Linked DNA regions of Lonchura striata. The protein of the gene in region 1 purifies or fractionates together with the protein of each later gene. This does not show direct contact. Links are inferred from orthologs where the notes say so. Each region holds a gene or a part of one and is shown in the gene's direction. Other genes may lie near its edges. The genes, in order: RPS6KA3 and FGFR2.

Region 1 (12,238 bases):
ATTAGTGACAGATTTCCTGCTTGTCTCCAAGGAAAAAATAAACCCAGTGCAAAATGTCACATTTCAGACAAGAACATCCATGACATGATATGTTGTGAATGTACAAGGTGCTCTGCTGACTAAGGTGTATAAATTTTGTCATAAAATGAGTGGTGCTTTAAGGAGCTAATAAAAATATCTCTTTGTCCTGAGAAACTATTGAACAAAAAAAAATCTGTAGTAATGAAATTAATAATTAAGGAAGCCTTGCAACAGACCAATTCAGCACTCTCTGGAGATGGCCATCTTATTGCAATTTACACTCTCTCTTAACCAACATCATTAGTAGGGGTTCTAAAAAGCAAAAAGTAATGAAGCACTGAAATACTGCAGGAACACTGTCAACACTGATCAAAGCCTTCATCATAGCTTTTGTTCAACTAGGGCAAGCAGTGCATTTGTGTACAGCAGAGGAGCATTCATTCTGATGAAGCAGGCAAAATAACGTCACTGCTTCCTGAAAATTGTGATTTTTAAAATAGCTTCTTTGAAGTCAGACAAAGTTTCAGTTTGCTCAAAGTGAATCAGTAGAGGAAGAATATAATCCTGACAATTTATTTAATCCCTTCTACTGTCTGTGGTGATGTAATACCAAAAACTCTATTAACTTATATGTCCACTCATGAGCTGAATATTTACTTCTTACTACAAGCATTAAGATAAGCCATTGGAAATTGTATCCAGTTGTAACAGATTTAATGTGAATGGTTGTTTGTTTCATTAATCTTGTATCAAGTGACTTTAAAAAAGAAAATACTAACAGATTTCTACAAATGTTTAGAGCATCTCTCTGGCTTATCACTTTGAACACAACAGCCTTTACAATTTTCTGTGATTCACTAAATATTTACTGAAGTATATATAGATTTAACTGGCTATTCATATCCAAGACACAAGTGCTTCTTATAGTATTTAAAACTGTTCTGCTCTTTCTTTAAAAAGCCATCTTCTATCTCAGCATTCCTTCTCTATTTTATCCTACATCTTACATTACCATCCTTGGCACTTAATGAAGAATGACCAACAAGCCAAAAATCTTCCACAGTCTCCCCTCCTCCAGTTAACTTAACCATCTAGTAATAGATCAAGTTCATACTATTCATTAGCCTAAGCCCAGAACCTTCAACAAGTATCAGACAGCATAGATTTACAGTTTCTGACTCACCTGTCACATATATACCATTTTGCATCTCTAAAGCTCTAAATAAGGAACCACATCTTAACACAGTCTTAAGCTGCTCTGCCTTACAGGATAAATGTTGCTGCCTACTCATCCTGCTATTCCTTTTGGCAAGGTTGGGACTCTGGAACAAGGCCTTGACCATGTCTTTTCTCCATCAAATAGGACAAAGTGGGCCAACACAGCCGGGGCAGATTGAGGTACTTAGGGGTGAACAGGGCTGTTTCATCTAACATATTTCTCTTCATTGCTTCCAGATAATGCTTCCAGAGCCGTCTTCCATCACAGTCATGCTTCCCTTCAGTAAGCGCTGACTTTGGGGGATAGAAACATGCACTCACCGTGGAACTGTGTCATTGCAATATGCTGAAATGATTGCTGGAGATGTAAAGTATCCATATTTAGAGTAGGCACCTTTTCACTAGTAAAATCACTTGTAGGACACAAGGAAGGGTGCCAGTATACTTTGGAGTTTGATAGCTCCCAGCCAATATTGAGGGCTGAAAAAACACTTCAGGGTAAGGCAGTCAACAGTGAAGTTCCTTTTTGATGTATCAAGAGCAGAGATGAGTGTGAATCCATCATTCCACTGAATCACGGAGGGGCCCAGGGCTCATACAGGGAGCTGAGGAAAATATTACCTCTACACAGCATCTTGGACATGATCACAAACCTGGGCCCCCTCTGGCACTGCTTTGTTCTCCACAGGGCAAAAGGCAAGGCACAAAGGTGAGATGCTGATGGAAAAGTGAGTGAACAGTCTTGAGAAAATACATGGATCTTTCAAACCAATAGAGGTAACCAACTCTATTTTTAGGTACACCGACAGCACATATCTTGGAAATATCCCCAGACTACTGGGAATGAGCATCAGGTGTTGTCAGGCAGGATAAAGGACAGCTGTTAGCTCAGTCTGGAAAATCCTGTTCAGTATAATTAAGGGTCAGTAAAGAGAAAGTGAAGCTTTCTAGATTTAAAAGGGATTCTTGGTTAAAAGATGATGGATAATCTATAAAAGGAAGTGAAGAGTAAGATTGTTAGAATAGATTTGGTAACTAGTTTTCAAAGAGACCAAGGCACTATTTAATTGTGAGGGCATAAAATCAGGAAATTTAGGTAGTAAGGTTAAATAGCAAAAAAAGTGAGAAAAAGTAGGCTTTGCTTGTCAGTAGGCTTTGCTTGTCAGTAGGCTCTTTAATTTCATAACAATAATAAAAGGGTCTGTGACCCTTAAATTTCTAGATCTGGGAGGGGGGTAGGGTGCATAAATAGTGATGTGCCCTTCTCTCAACAGTGTGTTTTATAGCAATGATTTGTGAAGCTGATGAGTTTTTTATTGCTATATTGTATAATATAACATCATATTCTATCTCTATCACCACTATTTTTGGTGGGTTTTTTTGGTTTTGTTTTGTTTTGTTTTGTTTGGTTGGTTTGGTTTGGTTTTTGTTGCGTTTTTTGTAAACAGCTATCTTGTGTTGTATTTAATGTAAGAGAACTCTGACCCTTGAACACTGATCTTGTTCATACTCCACCATTTCCTTTTTGTCTCAAAATACCACTATCTGAAATTCTAATCTGATTCTCAATGTTCCACTGCAAAGGGGTGACAACTTGCATTCGGTATTTGACAGCAGGTTTCCATGTAAGATTTCAAAGCTCAGCAAGAGGTTTCTTATACTCTGCAGTGAACAGGATAAATTTTGTCATTCAGATGATAAATCTGAGCTATTCTGTATGTACAGAAACACTAAAATGAGAACATATGTTGGAGACAGGTATGCTGTAATGAGACCATATTTTATTGAATTCCAGATTTCCACTCAGGATATAGAAACCACAGGCACAATTATTTCCTGCTAGCATAGTGACCACAGATAAAACTTGGATAAGTAATTCCATCGAGCATGATGCATTATGCTTTACCCTTTCAGTGCAATTTTATGTAAACTTACTTACATCCAGAAAATCTATAGCTTTAAGCAGTGAGTCAGACATTGTATCTCTAACATATATAGGATTTAGAAGCATTCTTATTGTCATTATCACATCTACTATACTTGCAGGATTAGAACTTCAAAGGAGAGCCTGCCAGAGGAAAATGCAGGAAATGTTTGCATTCCTGTATGATTCCATCATCCAGGGGCCTGTAATGGTGAAAGCCCCCTTCAGCAGATGTTGTTTGAAAGGTCAGGTTAAATCTTAGTACACAAGAGACATTCATTTCAGTTCTTCCCTTCTTAGTTATTGATTATAACTCTGATTTGTACAGCAAATCGCTCTGGTGTCTCTGCTATGACAACTCACACCAGCTGGAAACTTCTTGTAGCACTTTGTCTCTCTTCCCCTGGTCTTTGTCAGCTTTCCAAACATCACTGAAACCATCCTTCCAATATCCCAGTGAGGTTAAGGAGATGTTCTTTCTATCTGCACCTAAAGCACAGAGCAAACAATTCTAACTAGCACTAGGCTTCCTTAGTTTATTTTGGCAGAATGTATTTATGCTTCTTCAAACAAGGCCTCCTCACACTTTTCAAAAGATCATGAAGAAAGACTAAGTCTTCTTAGTTGAATCTCATCAATATGAAGTGACTGACTAAATTACACAATTGTCCTTTGTGTTCTGCTAGGAATTGAATCCAGGTGTCTTGAGAGTAAGAGACTCTCTTTGTCTATCAGCTATACAAATAAATGTTATTGATTATTTTTTTAACTCCTTGGAGGTTTTTTCCCATATAAATTCAGACAGTAGCTTCTGCATATTTTCCTGTGCATTAAATTCAAATTATACACCTCAGTGCCTTGGTCACAATACTTGAAACAGAATTTCACACTTTCACATTGTATTTACTGTTTCATATTCCGTTCAGAAGATACAGCATCATAATTCCCACCTAATGCACTACTAGACCTTCTAGATAAGTGTCAGATTGTGGGGCTTGTTGCCATAGTTTCATTTGGGTTTCTCCCAGGTTTTATGTATATTTTAAAAATGCAAGTTGAAGTTCTCAAATATTATTCTGATCATAATGTTAGCAAACTATTTTTGTTTTACACTTCTAATTTTGGGGGGCATGGCTAAGGTGATTTACTAACTCTGCAATTAATTCTGCACTAATTGCAAAGACTATGTAGGTACTACTTCAAAGCTAAGCAAAGCATTAGATCCAACCAGCCATAAGCAAGATTCCCTAATTTCTGTCACATATATATCAAGAGGCTGCCTGTGGGAAAAGAGTAAGTACTATTAAGCTGATGTCTCCCTTGCATTCGAGTGACATTTTAGTGAGGTTTGTTAGAAAGAAGTGGAAAAAAATGGTGCAGCATGTGAAGCCCATCTAATTCATATGACAAGTTAATGGGATTTTATACAGCACTGTCATTTCAGTGCCATATGCTACCCTTTTCCTAACAAACGTGATCAAATTTTTGGTTGCAATGCATATAAAACATCCATGTGGATGCACCACAATTGCAACCACTTATGCAAAGGTGAAATCAACGCCCACAACCGAGCCTAGTGACAGACAGTTATTAGCAGTGACTGCAGTCAAGCAGAGATAGCTGTGCCTAGAGGGAAAGAGGGTAAAAGGAGAGGTCTGCAGCCACAGGTGAAGGCACTACCTCACTTTGGCCTGAGACAAAAGGAATGAAAAATAGGAGCTGCTGTCTTGAGGTAAAATATCTTCAGCATCTTGCCTCTTTCTGGGAGGATGATCCAACTCCGAGCTTAGCAAGATTTGAAAGTCAGAATCCCCCGCATCTCCCAGAGATTAACTGATATGTCTCCCTGCGGAGACACTTTGCAGATGATTTTCTTGCCCTGAAGTCTGTTCTTGCATAGTAGCTCCTACTAAAATCCTGATGCAGCTTTCTCTTTTATAAAATTTAAATGCGTGGTGCAATAATACTGAAACCCCTGAACAATGAAATGGCATACTTCTACCTACTCTGTACTTCAGTGCCTCAGAAAAGGTCAGATTCCTATTGTTTGCAGCTCTCTTACCTGCTAGTGCAGAAGATCTTTGCCCCTGTTTTATTTTGGATTTGTAAGATGCATACAGGGAAGGACAAAAGAAGATCTATGTAAAAAATTCAGAAATCATAACCAAACTATGATGCCCCTCCCCTTCTAAAAAGAGTTTAAAATTCAAACAATTTAGAATATGTACCCGTGGCAAGAAAGGACTAGAAAACTATGAAAGGAAAAGAGATCATGGAGTTTTTTAGTTAGAGGAAGAAAATCTTTTATAAAGAGGGACTTGTTGGACTATGTGAAATGCAAGCTTAGGTTTGGTGTATTGTTCTTGTGATTGCCACTTTTCAGTTCTCAGGTTCATCTCCCTAATGGAACATCTCAGATGTATGTACCTGACTGTGTAGTTGATGCAGGTACAAATGCATGAGTTTTGATAAAGTCAAGTGAAATATTCCTGTGAGGGAATAGAAACTTTTATTTCCAGAGGGATGTAAGGTAACTTTTTTTTTAACATCATGAATTTTTACATGAACTCAGAGATTATTTTTTAAAGTCCTGATTTGTGTGTCAACCACATAATGTATGACTGCTGTAAAAAAATACTTTTATGCTCAACATTCCAGCAGCCAGTTTGAGACTGAAGTGACCTGCTGCTGCTCAGACTATGAAAAATTATTTCTTGCATTATGCTTAATATCATAATGTTTGCATTGTTCTAAATTTCATATCATTAACCAGCTAGGGTTCTGCAACTTGACCACATTGGAAGGAAGCAGTCTAAATTCCTCTTTCAGCCTTTAATATGGTGGGTTGGTTGGTTGGTAGGGTTTTTTTTGAGGACAACAGGAGGTAAAAAAGGTACAGTAGGGTAAGTTTTGATGCGGGTCAGTTCCCTGGTATAACTCACCACATGACAGCACAAGCAATTGCAACCCTTGAAAGAGAGGTCGATGCAAGGGCCAGACTGACTTGGAGTGAATGAGGGTACATCTGCTCCTCCTGGCTTTAGGTGATCATTCAACTATGACCTTTTACTCCAGATATGGAAGTCTCTGTAGGACCAACTGATTCATTATTAGCAACTGCCTATCCACTCCTTCGTTCCTCTTTGTAGATAGGTATTTACATGAACTGGGATCAAAACTGCTACCAAGCAGAAACAGAACCAGTCTGTGTTCATCACAAGAGTGTGTGCATGCACATACACACTTTTAATTACTAGCACTCTTGCTATTTTTCCCATTCCAAAAAACCTTCCAAGTATTTAAAGAATGTTAACTTTTATAAAGGATGGAACAAATCATGTGACCTATCAAAATCTAGAAATGCTCGGGGCAGTGGGGGCTCTCAAAAACTAAGAGGCCTTCTCAGAGTTCTGGAAAGTTTGGCTTCAACAGCAAGAAGTCTGACACCAGTGCTCACCCACCTTCAGTTGCTGGTCTCACGTTTCAAGGATTCTTCAGCATCAGCCAAGCCATCTAATGTTGCAAAACTTGGGTGTTCTTGACAGCGCTTAGCATTTCAGGAAACCATGTAACACCACATAGGCTGTAGGTCTCAGTTTATATGTTTGTGTACCAGCTAACACCTGAAAATAAAAAGTAAAATAAGGGCCGTTTTCTGAACCTTTGGGGGGTTTTTTTGACAACTTTATCTTCATGTCTCTCGGCTTGAGGGAGTATGACTTTCCCGCTTCGAGGCAACTCCCACAGTCCAACCACTGCTTAAACGGTGTTGCTACAAAAACAAATTCCTACACCTTAATTCCTTTCCCTCTTTGCCTAATGATATTCTGCACAATCCCACGTCTCAGCCGCCTCTCGACTTCTCCCTCCGCGCTTGTCTGTGCGAACAAACTCTCCGTGTCTCCAACTCCCCGCAGCCCGGGGAGGGTAGCAGCCCCGGTTCCCGGAGCCGCGGTTCCCCAGCCCCGGGGGGCGGTAGCAGCCCCGGTTCCCCAGCCCCGGGGGGCGGTAGCAGCCCCGGTTCCCGGAGCCGCGGTTCCCCAGCCCCGGGGGGCGGTAGCAGCCCCGGTTCCCCAGCCCCTCTCCGTGGGGCCGGCCCGCCCCGGCGGTGCCGGCGGCGCTGAGGGCGCAGCCCCTCAGCAGCACCGAACGGCGCCGGCGGGGGCTGCCGGGCGCAGGCGCGGGCGGGCGCGGCCGCCGCCATGTCGTGAGCGGAAGCCGGGCCGGGGGAGGGCGGCAGCGCGGCCCCGCCCGGCAGCGGGGAGGGCGCGGGGGAGGGACGGGCGCACCGCGGCGGCGGCAGCGGGCAGCAGTCGCCGCAGGAGCCGCCGCCGGAGCCAGCCGGGCTGTCCCGCGCCCTCCGCAGCGCTCGCTGCCTGCCTGGCCGCCCCCGCCGGGTAGCGGGAACGCGGAGCGCGGAGGCTGCGGGAGCCGGACGGGAAAGATGCCCCTGGCGCAGTTGGCAGACCCTTGGCAGAAGATGGCTGTGGAGAGCACGGCCGAGAGCAGCACCGAGGTACGGGGTGGGCGGGGGGTGCTGCGGGGAAAGTTGTGAGGAGAGAACGGGACCGGGGCTCCCGGTGCCGCCGTCGCTCAGCGGGTGGGCAGAGTTTTCCCCCGGAGGTTTCGGGGCGGGCAGCGGGCGGGGGCCGGCGGCAGCGGCCCGGCGGGGAACGCGGCGAGCGCCGGCCCCTGCACAGCGCTTCCTCTCCGGGGCACTGACTCACGGCCGGCACCGGCCGGGGCTCCCCGGCCCGCGCCGAGCTCGGGGTGTGTTCCCGGGACCGGGCTGCTCCCGGCGCGCTCCCTCCCCTTCCGCCCCGTTCCCGGGAGGGAGTAACCTGCCTCCGTGGTGGCCGCCGGGTCGGGCGCTTTTGTTCCAGCGCGGTGTCTGGTTACTGTCACGGCGAGTTTCCTTTCCCGGGGCGGCCCTCCGCCGCCGCGGCTCGAGGTGGGCAGGAGGGCCGGGCCCGCCCTCGCCTTGCCCGGTGCCCTCGCCTTGCGGCATCTCCCCGTGTGGGTCCCCGCCCGGTGCCGCTGCCCCCTTATCTCGGCAGGATGGGGTTGGCGGCAGTTTCGCAAGAATTTGGGAAACCGCAGGGACGTGAAGGGTGGTGAAGCATGGGTGAAGCTTTGTGCTCGGCGGCGTTGCCGGGAACAAGCCCGGGGTGCCGCGCACTGTGGGTTTCCCGTTGTGGTAGCGGGGAGTGCGTGTTGTGCCTGTCCTTGTTAGGCAGGACGCGTGTCAGCTTTCCTAGGCTGGAATAATGAGAGCGGCTGGAAATTAGAGTCACTTGACACCGAGGCCATAGAAGCTTTCAGCTATTCTCATATTTTTCCTACTACTGTTGGTTTGGATCTGTGTAAACACTGCACCTACACAGTCTGTTGTGCTTGCTCCATGAGTCCTTAGTAGCCCACAGTGCTTGTGCTACTTTGTGACCAGATTCCATCTGAAAAGAAAAAGCTGCTTTTGACAGTGCAGCTTCGACCTGAATCGGCTCCAGCTGATACGCAGCCAGGCTGCTTCAAGTGATGCTGATGTGGAACGGTGTGGACCCAGGCCAGCTCACAACAATTATTCGCAAGGTTAGGACTCTCTCCTTAGTGAGATGAGCATAGAGGGACCGATGCAGAGTTTCTGCAGTATCAGGATTTGTCCTTTTCATCTTTGTCTTCTCATTCTTCTGCTGAAAGTCACTGTATCTCAGGGAGTCAGAAGAACCTACAGGCACATATAATTTTTTAACTCTTGACAGGTAGTTACTTTTTAAATTTGTGCTAGTTATTTACTGACTTCTGGAGTAGTGATCTTAGATGATTTTAAATTGGGAGTAACTACAATAGTGTGATGCTTGGGGGTGGGGCAGAAGGTGGTAAGGGAAAACACTTAGGTTAATCATTTAGAGAAAAGAACTGTTGCTTTAGTCTTTGCTCACTGCATGCAGTCTAACTTCAATAATAGTATATATGCTAGATATGTAGAAAAATAGATTATGTTATTTGCAATGTGTGTACATTCATGATTATACTTCACTTGTTTTAACATATTTCAGACATGATTTGTTTTTAAATTGATGTCATAAACTTTTTGGAACAAGTGTATTTTATCACTTCCTTAAAAATAATTAAACTCATATATTGACATGAGTCTACAGTAGCTTATCACCAAAAAATGTCTAGGACCAATAATAAAACATGAAACAACATGAAGTGACAGGTTTGTACTCCAAGGCCTAGCCTAGAATAAACAGTTCTTGAAGGGACCAGGCTGCACCTGCAAAAGCTTCTCGGATGACACTCAAAAGGAAAAAGTTACTTAGAAACATTGCTTACATTAAATGACTATTTAAGAAAATATATTTTAGTAAAAATAGGTAAGTTTAAATCAAATATGTCAACAAGTGACCTAAATACATAACTTGGATTTTTGATTTGCATGAGTTGTGTTTATCTGTAGCATAGCAATATCCTAATTACAGACCCTATTCTGCAAGAGTATCCTTGGGCAAAAATGTTCTTACATTTGCCTGAAACTCATTGTGATTTCAGTCATAGTTTGATACTAATAATATCTTTAGCTGTAACTCTGAGTAAAGCATTTCTGCTAACCTCTCAGATTTGCTGACACAGTTCTTGTAATGCTGTATTATCAGCATATGGAATTACAAATTTTTGAGTTTTTTCCTTGTCTTAACGACTTATGGAATTTTTAATTGACTTGATTTTTCATTTGTTTTCCAGCGCAGTCCTGTAGTTACAGTGGTACTGCCAAGGAGGTGATGTTCTGTGATGGGTGTGCAAATTTAGGAGGACTAGAATACTTTTAAATAGCTTTAGTTTGGAAGTGTACTTAACCACAAACAGCTGCTGTAACTTAGGTGTGCAGAACAGTAGAATATAATCTTTCTTTTTTAAAAAATCAGACAATTGTTTTTTAGATAAAATGTGGCTTTATGATTTTTAAAAATCATTTTCAGGACTTCTCTTTCTACAGGTGCAAATAGGTCAGTGATCCACATTGTCTCTGACAGCTTTTTTAATGTGTAAAGTTGTTAAAATATTTTTTAAATAGTGTGTCTGTATGTGTAGTTTCAGTTTCATATTGTAAATCAGAGCACCTTTAAAGCTTGTGGAATGATGCTGTTTCTTACTGACTCAGAGTCTACTCAGGATTCATAACAAGCATAGGTTCGTTTTTCATGGTGAGAATATGCCTGTTATTGCAAGTCATCTGCTTTCGAGCAAATTAAGTATTGATGACTTGAGTTTGCATTTGAATGCCTGAATAATTAGCCTGATCCTTTGATCTGTACTCTCAGTTATGCATATTAATGTCAACTGGAGGAGAATGAATACAGTTATGGCAGCCAAATTTTGGACACCAGTATGTTGAAAGAGCTGGCCATCATAAGGAGATGCCATTTGCTAGACTTTCTGGGAAGCATTTGTGACAGCTGTCATTAGGAGTTTTAATTTAGATGCTCAGAACTGGCTGTGGAGAAATTCTTTTCCCATTGCTCTTGACAGGGTTTATGGTCATTTGTTCAGGTGTTTAAATAGGTGCTATGAATCTTCCTTCGCAAATTTCTGTTTTATAGTGTGTATTATTTGAACTTTGCATGAGACAAGGTATGCTAGCATTTAACAGTCATGCTGCTACTTTAAAGAAACTGGTATAATGCAAATTTTGCTTTGTAATTTTATTTTGATTGTCAGTGTGGCATTCTCTATGTCAATATATATTTCTGGCCTGGAAGCTGAAGTTTGTCAGATGTCTTGCCACCTTTAGCCTTGAGCCTGTGGTTGTGATTGTCTCTTCACATTCTGTACTGTGAATCAGTGTTGTCCTTGTCTTCCACAGGAACTAAGGCAATATTTACAGTCATTTCTGGTATAGCCAACACAGGTAAATACTTAAAGCCAAAGTGGAATCACCTAAATGGACCAATCTGTGAGGATTTTGAGAACTATCCATTTTCTCTCCATTGTAGAAAAAATTATGTGCAGCACTTGGCTGTTGCTTCTCACGTAGAACTGCTGTCAGCATGGTACATTCTGAAGTCTGAATTTTTCACTGATTTATGGGATGATGCTTTCTTGTACTGAGTTAAAAGTGGGAATTGGAAATTTAATTCTGATTTAAATAAGTAGCATAAACTATATTCCACAAACTGCTGTGATAGATAACAGATCTTTTATGTATGTAAACACAGCCTTGAGAAACACATAGTCTGCATGAAAAGTGTTACAGGGGGTGGTCAGATTTTTCATAACCTTATTGGCACCATTTTAGCCGATTTGTTTTTCAGTTAACACAGTCATAGTCCGTGACATAGTAAGGATGTCCTGTGGTCAGCTGAGTGGGGCAGGAAAAGGCAGGAGTTTTACTTTGTTGACTTCAGTACCTTCTTGCACTGCTGTGTACTCCCTGCAGTTCTTGATTTTTTTTGTAAAGGTGTTGAGTTTAACTTCTTTTAATGGTTATGTTGCTTTTCTTATGACATTGGCAGTTTTCTTGTAATTGTTTTGTTCGTTTTAGTGTAGGCAATATTTCTTGCCCCAGCTGGGATGTGTAACATAAAGTAGATGTAAGAAGATTGACACATGTAAAGGCGTGTCTGTTATCTTTGAACTGGTTGTGGTCTGTCACACTGACTGTAGATGTTTGTAATTTGAAATGCTAGACTTAAAGTCATATTGATATATAGACTGAGGTGGGCGTTTAATTATTTCTGCACATCAAAAGTATTAGCTTTGTGTGTTGACTGATCTTGGCAGTTGCCAGATCTACCAGCTTTAAGAACTCAAGATACTCATTTGGAATTGTCATTTTTCTGTGGCACTTGGTTGGGGGAGGTGTTTTGTTTTGGATTTGAGGCGCTTTTTTTTTTGTTGTTTGGGTTCTTTTTTCCACCAGATATAATTCATAGCCATATTCCAATAGTGAAACTTTTAACCTGTTTTTCAGGCTAGAGTAGATTCATATAATTGGGTTTTTTAAATCTTGATAACTTTCAAGAGAACAGTTTAATCAGTAAAATTTGAAAAAGTTAGAATCCCTTCAAAGAACTT
Region 2 (12,149 bases), on another chromosome or scaffold:
CCCTACCCTTCCTGTAGAAACTTGTTCCTTTCTAGTGGTTTTCACATAATGAATCCCAGTGAATATTTAACTCAGTCTCCCCTGTAATCAAGTTTCTGGCCTCTTTACTTGTACCCACAGTGCAAAACATTTCCTGACCCATGGAGTTCAGCAGCCCTGGGAGTCTCCAGCAGGATCTCTGCTCAGTTGGCATCAGGAGAGCAGCGTGAGGGTTTTGGGGTTTTTCTCATCCAGCAATCACCAACACAACCTTTGTTATCCTTTAAGAAATGGAATCTGACTTCAACTTGGCTATCTAAATCAAAAGCAGGCCTTCTCTCCAAGCCCTGAAATATGGCTGTGTGTTTACACATATATGAATATTCATTCATATGCATATGAATATTCAGTAATGCAAGTCTGGATTTCATGCAAAGCAAGCTTCCCTGCAACCCTGTATTTAAAACAGAAGATAAAGAAGGAGAAAAGTATGTTTCTGGGTCTGTGGGAGCAGGGAAAAAGGACAATTTGGGTCTGTGTGTGGGAAACCTTTCTGTGACTTTGGTTTAAAGAACTCCCCATGCTTGTATCAAATTGCCTTTGGACTTTATCTGCCTGACCATCACCTTTCCATGCCATTTTTGGGGACTGCAGCTTGTGAACGTGGTTGCAGAGTTAACAAATGAGGGCTGTTAAACCTCGATGCATCTCTGTTTATGGAGACTTTCTTGGGCAGATCACTGGCTGCTCCCCAAGGCAACCCAGTGAAATTGTGGGTACCACAATCCCCTGGCAAAGTGGAGGAGGCCACCTTCCAGTGGGCACTGGAGCTGATAAAAGGCATGGCTTACACTGAGAGGAAGAAGAAAATTCCTGTGAAAACTACGGTAGGAGATAGGAAAGGAAATTATGTGCAAAGGATGGGGAGAGGAGAAAGAATATTGACTGCCTGGAGAATGCTGACTTGAAAGATGTTTGAGGGTTAAGAAGAATGAGGCAGGGAAATAGTTGTAGGCATTTCATGCTTTATTACCCAAGGTGGGAAGTAGAAGAATTTTTTTTATTTTATATTTTTAACTACAGAGTGACTGTGCCTGCTTGTGTCTGCACCTGGCCTGTGGGAGAGAGAACTGGAAGTGCAGAGCTTGGCACTGCAGCAGAGGATTTGGGAAGCAGGAGGGATCTGTTGGGATTTGGTGCTGTGGGACAGCTGGGTCACAGAAAGAGCAGAGTGCCCACACTGTGGGTTCCTTCCTTCCAGTTTCCTGCTCCTTGCAGGATTCAGACTGTAACACGAGCCCTGGTGCAAAGCTGACTTCACACCTCCTGCTCTGTGCCTGGAAGCTGGAGCACCTCTGCTGAGCCCTGCGGTGTCAGCAGGGAGGAACCTGATCTGATGGAGCCCTGCAGGGAAGCTGCCACAACCACCAGTGAGGCACAGGGCTCCTCTAAAACAAACCAGTGGGTATTGATCAGCTGGAAACAGAAACGAGAAGTGCTTGGGCCAGCAAGTAAAATATACCCCAGTTCTGTAACAGAAGGAGAAATTTTCTTTGCAGCCTTTGTCTCCTCGTTTTTACAAGTCTGGCTCTGTCAGAAGTTTATTCACAGGGTTTCTCTGCATTCTGCTTTAAAGGAGATCACTGCTAAAAGATCTTCTGCCATGGATGCTGCTTTCCACTCTTTTAGAAATGATACTGTTCCCCGAGAGCCAGGGGTGCTTTACCAGGACAGTGTGTGACAAATCCTTTATGAGGGAATACATAATAAATGGAGGATTTTCTTTTATTTTGATTATTTAGTATTCAATATTTGCATTATGGAAGTGCCTGGAGGTTCCAGCTGAGATCACTGCCCTATTGTTCTAAGCCATGCATAAAAACATGGTCAGAGATGAGGAGCTTAACATCTAAATAGATGAACTGGATAAAGGGTGGGAGACAGGAAGCATCTATTATTCTCATTTCATAGCTGGAGAGCTTGGACACAGACAAATTAAGTGCTTTTCCCAGGAAAGCCAATGGAGAAGGGCAGAAATCATGGATTGTCCAGGATGCCACTGTAATACCCTGCTCAAAACACTCCATATTTCCTGCTTAAATATATCTTGCGACACTGTAATGAAAACAACAAATATTTGTTTGGAATATTTTCCTTAAGACACACAAAATGAGAGGTGCAGCAGAAAGGTTACATGGCTACAAGGCATAACAATCCAAGGGGAGTGTTGATACTCAAATGCCATTACAAGACACTGACACAGCAACAGTCAAAGTAAGATTTTTTTTTTTTCCTCAACTGCTTAGCCTTACTGCCTGGAGAAGTATTTCCTAGAATATTCAGCCGTTCATAATGCAGAGGAAGATCAAATATTGATGGACAAAAGCAATTAATTTGCCCCCTTCTCTAGCTTAACCAAAATGACGTTTCCATGTTTGATAAACACCCAGTAAAACTATCCTTTGATGGGCCAGGAGCAGCAGCTTCCCCTTCCCGTACAAATTTTCCTGCAAAAGAACTTAGTAGCCCATCTGCTTCACACTTTCATGGATAATTATTGGATCTATTTGTATTAAAATAATTAATTGTTATCTCAGTTTCTCAATTTAGCAGCCTCTTGAAGTAGTATCTGGTGAGAATTATTGATGGAAGCCTCTCTTTTAGTAGTAGCTTTTGTTTTAAAACAGGGTTGTTTTTGTATGAAATAACTTTTCCCTAAGACACTGAAAAATCTATAGAGCAACTTTGCCTGTCTTTGAAAAAAAAAAATCAGAAGTGGGGTCCTATTATTTGCTCTTGGGTACCCTAAAAAGGAGTTTGAAGCTGCCTGGAAAGAAAACCATAAACATTTTGGAAACCAGGTAAATATTTTAGCTGCCAAAGTTTGAGTTTAGACACTTAGCTTTGGAAGAACTTCAAAGAAAAGAAAAATCTTAGACAAGCATTTAATCATATCCAGCATGAGCAGGAGAAATTTTTGGATGGGACAGTTGGAATAACAGGGAAGAATTGTTGATTCCCATTGTCTTTCATGGAGAAAACCCTCGGTGATGTGTGTGGTTGAATTTGGATTTAGGGAGTTTCTCCCCAAAGACCTCTAAGACTTGAATGTGTGGGCTTTCATTTTCTTTCATTTTTTTCCCTGCTTTAACTCCATGTATTTTATTGCTGTTTCCATCAGCGGCATGTTGGCAGGTCCTGCACCTGGAGAATGGTGCAGTGCTGCAGAACCTCCTTCCCCGGGGTACCCATGGCCTCCCCTGCCATCTGCCAGGAGCTGGGGCTGCTTCCTCGCTGGAATTCCACGGAGGAGCCGCTTCCCGCGGAGCTCTGCCTGCCCTGATATCTCCAGCACTTAAAAGAAATGTCAGAGAGTCTGCGGGGATTAGAAGAACTGAGAGAGCTCTGTGCTGTGCTTTTTTCCGAGGTGACTTTTCCCGCATTTCTCGGAGGCGCTGCCTGCCCGTCTCACCCCATCTCCCCGCAGACACGAGCTGCTTGCCACCTGCTGAACCTTCTGCCTTCATCCCTTCCAGCTGGGCTTCTATGGATGAGCTGGTCCAGCCCAGGAGCAGCCTGAAGTCGGGCACATCTTTACCCCCCCAGGTAAAAGGGATGTTGGGAGGGAATGAATCCATTCCCTAACTTTTTGCCTTCATCCCTTCCAGCTGGGATGAAGGGATGAGCTGGTCCAGCCCAGGAGCTGCCTGAAGTCGGGCACATCTTTACCCCACCAGGTAAAAGGGATGTTGGGAGGGAATTAATCTATCTCCTCAGTTTCTGCCTTCATCCCTTCCAGCTGGGATGAAGGGATGAGCTGGGCTCTGCTGGGTCCAACCCAGGAGCTGCCTGAAGTCGGGCACATCTTTACCCCGCCAGGTAAAAGAGATGTTGGGAAGGATTGAATCCATCTCATCACCCAGCTGTGCCCTCGCTGCAGCTGGAGCAGGGCTGGGACCCTGCTCCTGTTGAACATTAACTCTATCCCTGCCTGCGTGCAGAGGGAGGACTGGAGCTGGGCTGACAGCAGCGACAAAGAGCTGGCAGGGCTGAAAGATTCAATTTAACTTTCTTTCTCCTCCCCCGCTTCCATATGCGAGGGCACACAGCGCTGTTCCTGCTTTTGAAACTTGCGGGGCAAAGGAGCATTGGTGTCCTCATTTTCCTTCCTCCCTATTGATGTATCATTGCCAGGATGAAAAAGGACGTCTCAAGAGCTTTTGAAAAAATGGGTGACTACTCAAGACATTTTATAAAGGAGGAAGAATGGGAGAGAAAATAGGACTCGGTAGGGGGTAGAAGGAGCCTGAATGTGTGCCTTGTCTGTCTATTCTTTAGCTTGAAACCTGGAGCTGTTGTTCCTATTTCAGTTCAAACTGTCACCTTTAGTTCATGATGGCTTTACTGCCCTTGCTCCTGAACCTCAACAGATTGGGGCTTATTTACCTATTCACACTCTGCTGTGGAACCTCATTAATAGGCTTATTAGCCACACCATTCACGTGCAGGAGGGCTCACAGAAAGGATCCCAGCCACTTTGAGAGGAGGAGGAAAAAACTGTAAAGAGATTATGCTCTCATTCAGCAGCCTAACTGCTATGAAAGGCTCCCTGGGCCCACTGAGATCTCTTGAAGCCTAAATATGATGACAGAATTGATCCCCCCCCCCCCACCCCTTTAATTCCAAACATGCTTCTGCTTTTCTCAGATTGAGGAGCTGGGCTGTTGTGGGCCACTTTAGGAGAATGTGGCTCATTTAAGAGAAAAGGCTGCTATTGATAGACTGCTATCTTTTCATCCTCCAAAAGAATAAATTCTGACAAGTGCTTCCAGACCTTGGAAATAGGTGTTCTGACTTGTCATTTTTAGTGGAATGCTTCCTTTTCTTTCAGAGTATGCAAAGATATCGATGAATGGGGAAAGGTATTGCAGCTTCCTGTGCCGGACAATAATTTATGTGAGAATGTGTTAACAATGTTTTCAATGGGCGATGGACATGCCCGGTGCTGGGAAAATTGGATCTTGACTGTGACATCTCAGCTTCTCAATTAGTAACATTCAGATGTCTGTTGCTTTAGGAACAACAAAAAAACCCCGCAAAAACAAAAAACGAAACCTGTGTTTCCAATCAATTACAAATTTGTCTGCCCTCCCTCATAAAGGCTGCAGTAGTGGTGGGAAAATACGTGCTGGGAGGTAAGTACAGAAAACTTGAAGTTTTTGGTGTCTAGGTGTGTGGAAATAGTCTTACACTACGATGCGTGGCCTCAGTCCTTGAAAATCCCCTTGATCAATACTTCACACAACATATAAAATGTACAGTAGAGCTTAAATAAAGTAACATTAAATTGATCAACACTGATTAAATTTGAGGCAACCACCACTTATTGATTTTGTTGTCAAGCTGATTCTACACAAGCAAGCATTACAGACTCCATATTCAAAACCTTTGAATGGTTGATGGTATCTAAAGCAAATGTTTTATTAAGCAAGGATCAGGCTAAGCTATATTGAATTCTGAATACCAATATTATGCAGTTTTAAATCCGTGTGGCCAAACAAATGATGTTTGCATAACTTTTCGACAACTTTTCCCATTTGGGCACCACACGGGTATTAAAAGTGCACTGTCAGACCAACTCACGGGGCAGCTGGAATCAAGCTTTGGATGAGAGGCTCCTGAGGGTAATTTTTGGAGCGGGTGTTATCCAGCTACCCTCTCTGGATGGGACTGGCCGCTGGCCAGCCGTGGCTTCTGAGCCAGAAACACTGCAGGAGAGGTTTCGGGGACAACTGCCGAGCTGGTACCATTTCAGCGTGAGGATGCAGACGCTGCCCAGCGCCGGGGTGGCGGTGCCGCAGCCCAGGCTCACCCGCTGCGGCGGCGCTTTCCGCGCACCTCTCCCTCTCCCTCTCCTTTCCAGCCCGCTGGAAAAACTTTCAGCGGAGCAGCCGGCCGGGAGCAGCGCGGGTTCCTGCCCTCGTCCCCGCGGCCGCCCCGGGATGCGCTGCCCCGCTGCCCCGGGCGGGCAGGGCCGGAGCGCGGCTCCCCGCTCCCCTCCTGCCCCGCGCCGCTGCTGCCGCGGGGGCACCCGCGACCCCCGGGCGGGGTGGGGGCTCCCGGCTCCGCACCTCCGAGGGCTCGGCGGCGATTGGCAGAGCCCGGCAGCGCCGTCCAGGAAACGGCTCGGGTTGCAGCGGGGGGAGTGACCGGGGGAGGAGGAAGGAGCCGGAGGAGTGCGCCGAGAGGGGGGGAGAAGGGGGCAGAGAAAACCCACCTCCCACCCGAGGGGGCTGTCGGCGTGACAAAGCTGCGGCGGCTCGGGGCGGGCGGCTGGATGGAGCGGAGCGGGACCCGCGGCGCGCTGCTCGGCGATGCCCGCGCGGGGGAGGAGGCAGCTGGCGCCGGGCACGGCGGGCTCGCCCCTGTGAGGCGGTAGCCGCCGCGGCCGAGCCAGGGCACGGCACGGGACGGGGCGCCGGGCCGGCTCCTGCCTCGCCTCGCCGCCCTCCTGCCTGCCCCGGGCGCGTCCCGCGGGGGATGCGCGGCGCTGCGCCGCTGCGGGCTCGCCAGCCGCGGCCGCCCGCGCCGTGACCGCGGCCGCAGCCGCGGGAGTTCCGCCCCGTCCCGGGAGCCGCCGCTCCGCAGCGGAGCCCGCCCGGCGCTCTCGCCGCAGGTAAAGGCAGCGGGCGGGCCGGGGAAGGGCGGCCCGGGGCAGGGCTGGGGGTCCCGCCGCGCTCCCGGCTCCGGGCGGGGCTCGGGGGTCCCCCGGTGCGGGGCTGGGGGTGCCCGGGCCGGGATGCGCCGGTGCGGGGCTCCCTTTGCTCCGCGGTGGAGCTGCGGGTCGCGTTGCGGTCGCTCGGTCGCCGCTGCGGTGCGGGGGGAAGCCCGAGCAGCAGCGCTGTTCCCCTGCCGTTCCCGCATCCCCGTGGGTGTCTTCGGGGATGGTTCCAGCGGTGACAGCAGCACGGGCGGAGGAAGGGAGGCTCGCCCCGGAGGAGCAGCCCCGCCTCGGTAGCGGCCGCGGGTCGGAGCCCGGTCCTGCCCCGCCGTGCTGCGGGAGCGGGGCTGCGGGGCACAACCGCCCCGTCTGGGACAAGGGGGGAGAGAAATCGTCAATGAAATATATATTTAAATGCAAAACGGCCCCTTCAAACTGGGACCCATTATGCGTTTGGTGTGAAACGCTATCAACATTTAAAACTTTATTGTCTCCTTTGTACCAAATCCCTGTAAATCTTCCACTAGCCTTTTCTCATTTTCATCTGAAAAGCCTGTTTGGGCTGAATAGACAGCAATCAGCAGCCTCTGGACTTCTCCCGCTCTCTGGAATGTCAATTAAAATGCAGATTTTTCTTCCCCCCCCCCTCCCCGATCTCTTGGTGGCAAAAGACTTGAGAAAAACAGGATAGTCCTGGAAAGCAAATGAAAGAAGTTCAAACAATGAAAAAGTACTGAAGCTGCCAGCCGGTTCCCATTAGTCCTTCAGAATTAATGTTTAATAGCTGTGATACTCAGATTTGCTTGGCGATTGAACTCTGCTGAAGAGTCTTGTTAGATATATATGTGTATGTATATTTTTATAGATGGATGTATATTTCTGCATTTTCTGTCCATACACAATTCTTCTGTCAGTGGAATTGTGTATATAAAGCTGTTAGCTTTAAAGCTTCTTCAACCTGGATTTTTTCTGACGAAGCTACTAGGCTTTTAGAGCCCTTGAGGTTTCTTTGTGGAGGGAAGATCCATATTTCACTCAGATTTTGCTATTCCCCGCCTAATTGAGAAAGATGCTGAAAAGTTATACAGTGACCAATGCATTGATTTGGTTAACATACTCTACAAATCGTGCTGTCCCTGGGGAGTGATAAACATCTTATAAACAACAATGCAAGTAGATTAAAAAGAACACTGAGAATTGAATTTAATTAATGTCACTGCTGAACAAGTACTACTTGTTTGTGTGTGCGAGTGTGTTTAAACTGAAGTGCAGCTTGGAGGAATTTGGTTGGGCTCCCAAACCAGTCTGCTTTCCCATGCTTGTCAGTTTGGCAAAGAAAATTTGGGCAGGTATGTGACGAGGTGAAAATTGACTTGATGAGCGAGTGGCAAGGAGAGCCATCAATCATTGGGGGCTGACAACTCCTCCCCAAAGTGTAGGCTGAGAAGAGAGACAGAGTTCCCTTTCAAGGGGAAAAATAAACACTACGTGTGGCTTTCACTGAGTCTGAGACTCCAGGAGGGATTATGGTATTGTAGTCAGGAAGCCAGAATTGTGGAGGCCAAAAAGCATGCTGGGGCTGTGTTCCAAACATTGAGATAGAGGTACATAATTATCCAGCACAGGAGGTCTTTCCAGGGACTCGTCCCCCAGCAACTGTGGCAATTAAACTATGAAAAGAATTTGGTGGTTTCGTTGCATCTTCGCTGGACTCCACTTCTTTTGGGAGAGGGCAATCCTTGAAGCCTGTCTGCTGTCCTGGTGGTAGAGTGGTTTGGCTCCATGGATGGGTGCAGAGCTCTGATTTTTGCATCGTTGCGCCTTCGCAAGGCAGGATTTTGGGTTTGCTGCTGCCCTGTGGATGAAGAATCCCTTCTTTCTGCCGGCAGATGTTGAGGTGCAGGAGGCAACAAAAACCTTCAGGTGAGGAGACGCGTGGCCAAGTAGCTTTGTGCCGCTCTTCAGGATTTAGGGTGAGGATAGGAACCACAAATGTGCTGTCAGTGGTGTTTAGTGTAGTCTGAAAATCTGAAACTGCAGGAATGTCAGTGGAATTAATGCTCTTGGAGTTTGAAATACATGCTGGCGTTCTGGTATGTTTTCTTTCTGCAAAACCGTGATAGGATTTTGCATTTATCAACATAGGCTTTAATCGGAGTTTACAGGATGATTTATGGAAATGAAATCAGCATTACAGCCAGGCTGTTAATGAGGGGTTTCTACCCACTTTACAGCTGGATAAACTGAGCTGCAGGGCTGTGGCTGCCAGACAGCGAGGTGGGCAGTGGACCTGGGTGGTGGCATCCAGGGGGGTTTGCTCCACGCACAGAGTGGTCCCAAAACCAGAGCTCTCTTCAGCTCTACACCTGCTCTCTGCTTATTTAGAGAAGGGCCGGGCAAGCTCTTTGCAAATGTTTGTGCAGTGGTCTGGTGGTGTTTTCGCTGGAAATGTAATGGTAGTTGCTAGCTTGTGGTCTGGGATGCTGGAGCCGGGCTGAAATCTTTACAGGAAGGGACAGGGCTTTGAGGTGATACCAACGGAGTTGGAAAAAGCTTGCCCTGAAGTAGCAGGGATTCATCTTGTATTGTTTTCCTCAAGTGATTTATTTATGTCATCCAAAACCTGTTTCTACTGACTCCAAAAGTTACTGTGTATAGTGCCCAAGATAAAAGATGCCCCAGCAGCATTTGTGAACTTTGTAGCAGCTAGCGCAAGGCTAATAAAAATCAGAATCAACTTTTTAAATGGTTGGCTTTATAAAAGGAGAATCTTTGTCCCTGTTTCAGCATGCTGAGGTACCACACCAAATCTTAATGACAAGAAGTTTGGAGAAGGTTTACATTATCTCCACACTCCCTTACTTCTTCTTTTTTTTATTATTTTTTTTATTTTTTATTTTCAAGTGTTGGGGGCAGGAGGGAAAAAGAGGTTTTGTGGTTTTTTTTCCCCTTCCAGACAAGTGCTCTCCAAATTTCAGTTGAGTTTCATCACATCTAAGATGAATCATTGACCAGATTAGAACAATTGCTGCAGTTACTTGTTTTATCCATTTACTGAGGTTTTACTTTTATTTCTGAAGCGGAAAATCAGGTCTCATTTTCTGCTTGAGCTGTTAAATCACCCTGTGAGGAGGATGCTCTTCTGACCCTCACCTGGCATCTCAGTGTGGAGGCAACAGGGTCCCCTGAAGGGAGTGCCAGTTCCTTTCATGCTACTTCTGTCAGACCGTGGCTGGATTATCACTTAACTTCATCCATTTAAATTTGTTTTATTGTGAATAAGATAGACTCTTTTTTTTTCCCCCACCTCTGAAAAATATATCTCAATAAGCATCACTGAGAGACTGAGCAAAGAAAGTTTTGTGCACAAAAGTTGGCATGTATGGATGGAAAGTGGTGATTGTGAAACAGCACTCTCTACCATATTTTATACAGATTTTAATTACCTGTAATGCAGTGTAGCAAACCAATATCACTGCAAAGACTTGAGCCTTTCACCTGACAAGGACTCAGGGGTTTCCAAAGACCACTAAACTGAGTCAGAAGAAGGTACATCCATGAAATAGTCTTACAGATTTTTCCAAGTCTGAGCAGTATATTTTTTCAACTGTTTTTCTTCTGGAAAATTACTGAATTCCTGCAAATTCGTCTGGCTGCAGAACTGCCTAGGTGAAGGAATGAAAAACAAGGCAAACTTACATAAACCTTCAAACAATAACAAGAATATAATTTGTATAATTGTGGTAATTTTGTAGCATTACAGGTTATATGCCTGCACATGTGTGTGCCTCTCATTTTTTGAAAACCTGTATGTTTTTCTGTCAGTAAAATAGCTCTCAATATGTGCTGAGAAGTGATTTTGTGAAAACAAGGAGGACTTGGTTACGCCTCAGGTGATGATGGAAACTGCTAACAGAAGATGAAAAGTCACTCACTTTTCACATATTCTTGAAGCTGGAAAACTACTTTCCCCATCCTCCTGCTCCCCTCCCTCTCACCTCAGCTCTGTTGGAGGCTTTATGAAGTTTTTGGTTTGTGTTTGGAGATGTTTTTGCTGACAGTGTTCCATCTCTCTCCTCCCCGCAGCAGCCGTCTTTCCAAGGGAGGAGGCATTACCCTGGCCGAAGGCACGGCTTTCTCTCCATGCTTCTCTAGAGGTGTTCAGATGGGATTAAAGTCCACATGGAGATATGGAAATGGACCAGGAATTTACTCTAAAAAGATGGTCAGCTGGGATTCGGGTTGCCTTATCTGCCTGGTGGTGGTCACCATGGCTGGACTTTCCCTGGCTCGACCTTCATTTAATTTAGTTGTTGAAGACACCACGGTGGAACCTGAAGGTAAATCACTCTCGAATACTTAATTCCTTAAAAGAAGCTAATTTTAAATGCTTGGACATGTGAAATAGAAGTCAAGATCTTTCCATGTGCTCTGGTAAATCTAAGGCAAGTAGCAGAGCAGCCCTGGCGAGTTACGGTTTCTGACTTTCCCTGCTCTCGCCTGGGCTGTGTTTGTACAAGCGTGCGTTTGTTTATTCTTGTGCAAGCCAGTGGTGTCAGTGATTTCACTTGGGACTGTCATCACGTTGTATAATCAAAGTGTACAGATGAAAGTTTTCAGGAACGGGTCTTTAAGGAAACCACTCTGTGGCACTTGGGTGTTGCTGTCTCAAGGAACAAAGCGGATGAGTGGCTGCTGCTCTTTGGGATTGTCTTAACCTGAGGAGTCCAGAGAAAAATGAATCTCTGTGGTTTTCATTTGGGAATGTTTAGTTTTGCTGGGCACGCTGCAGAAATGCTATGGCAGCTTTGTTGGTGTTTGTACTCAGGACAAACGTCCCTGTTGCTGTTAATATCCAGGCACAATCGGTGGTGCAGTGCCTGGATCACAAGTTCTGAAGATGTGAATGTTGAGATCTCAATAGAAGGGCTGGAGTTTATTGCTGTGAGAGCAAAGGCCAATCTAGACCTTCACGTTGAAAGAGGTGTTTTGATAAAATCTCCTATTTTGAGCTTGCACGTGTTGGTATGTTCTTCTAGGTTTATCTGCTCCTCAAGCTTTGCAAAGTGGTTTTCTTCTCTGGAGAGCTCAGGAGAGGCTGCTTTTTCATTGTTGTGAGCTGATTGTGTTGAAGAATGATTTTACTGTGTTGTGCTGGATCATTCCTGCTCTCTGAGCATCTGGGGGAGGAAGTGAGGCTTCTTTCATAAGGTTGTATCTGCCTTTTGGAGGAGTGATCACAGTTCTAATAACTCAGCTGTCAAGCTGATCTAATAGTCCACAGAGCATTTCTGACCTGGCAAGCTTGCTGCAGAGAGTTTGGCCTTTACACAATCTACTACTCATGTCCATGGATGCAGCTTCGTTTTTATTTAATAAATATTCATGCAAAACTTATTTGTTTCTATCCACTGCCTCTAAAAATAGACGTCACCAGCTAACGCATTTT

Evidence for each region.
Region 2: the proteins of RPS6KA3 (region 1) and FGFR2 purify together in Homo sapiens (affinity purification with mass spectrometry; 3 studies listed by BioGRID and IntAct, counting the BioPlex papers as one, with this or other methods). This does not show direct contact. The link is inferred for Lonchura striata from reciprocal best matches to the Homo sapiens genes RPS6KA3 and FGFR2.

Annotation. Positions count from the first base shown.
Region 1 is NC_134604.1:102,352,719-102,364,956, reverse strand, and holds the start of RPS6KA3 (ribosomal protein S6 kinase alpha-3), read left to right. Parts: upstream 1-7,463; 5' UTR 7,464-7,607; coding exon 7,608-7,679; intron 7,680-12,238. UniProt on the Homo sapiens protein: Serine/threonine-protein kinase that acts downstream of ERK (MAPK1/ERK2 and MAPK3/ERK1) signaling and mediates mitogenic and stress-induced activation of the transcription factors CREB1, ETV1/ER81 and NR4A1/NUR77, regulates translation through RPS6 and EIF4B phosphorylation, and mediates cellular proliferation, survival, and differentiation by modulating mTOR signaling and repressing pro-apoptotic function of BAD and DAPK1.
Region 2 is NC_134609.1:28,084,218-28,096,366, reverse strand, and holds the start of FGFR2 (fibroblast growth factor receptor 2), read left to right. Parts: upstream 1-6,564; 5' UTR 6,565-6,655; intron 6,656-10,786; 5' UTR 10,787-10,865; coding exon 10,866-11,040; intron 11,041-12,149. UniProt on the Homo sapiens protein: Tyrosine-protein kinase that acts as a cell-surface receptor for fibroblast growth factors and plays an essential role in the regulation of cell proliferation, differentiation, migration and apoptosis, and in the regulation of embryonic development.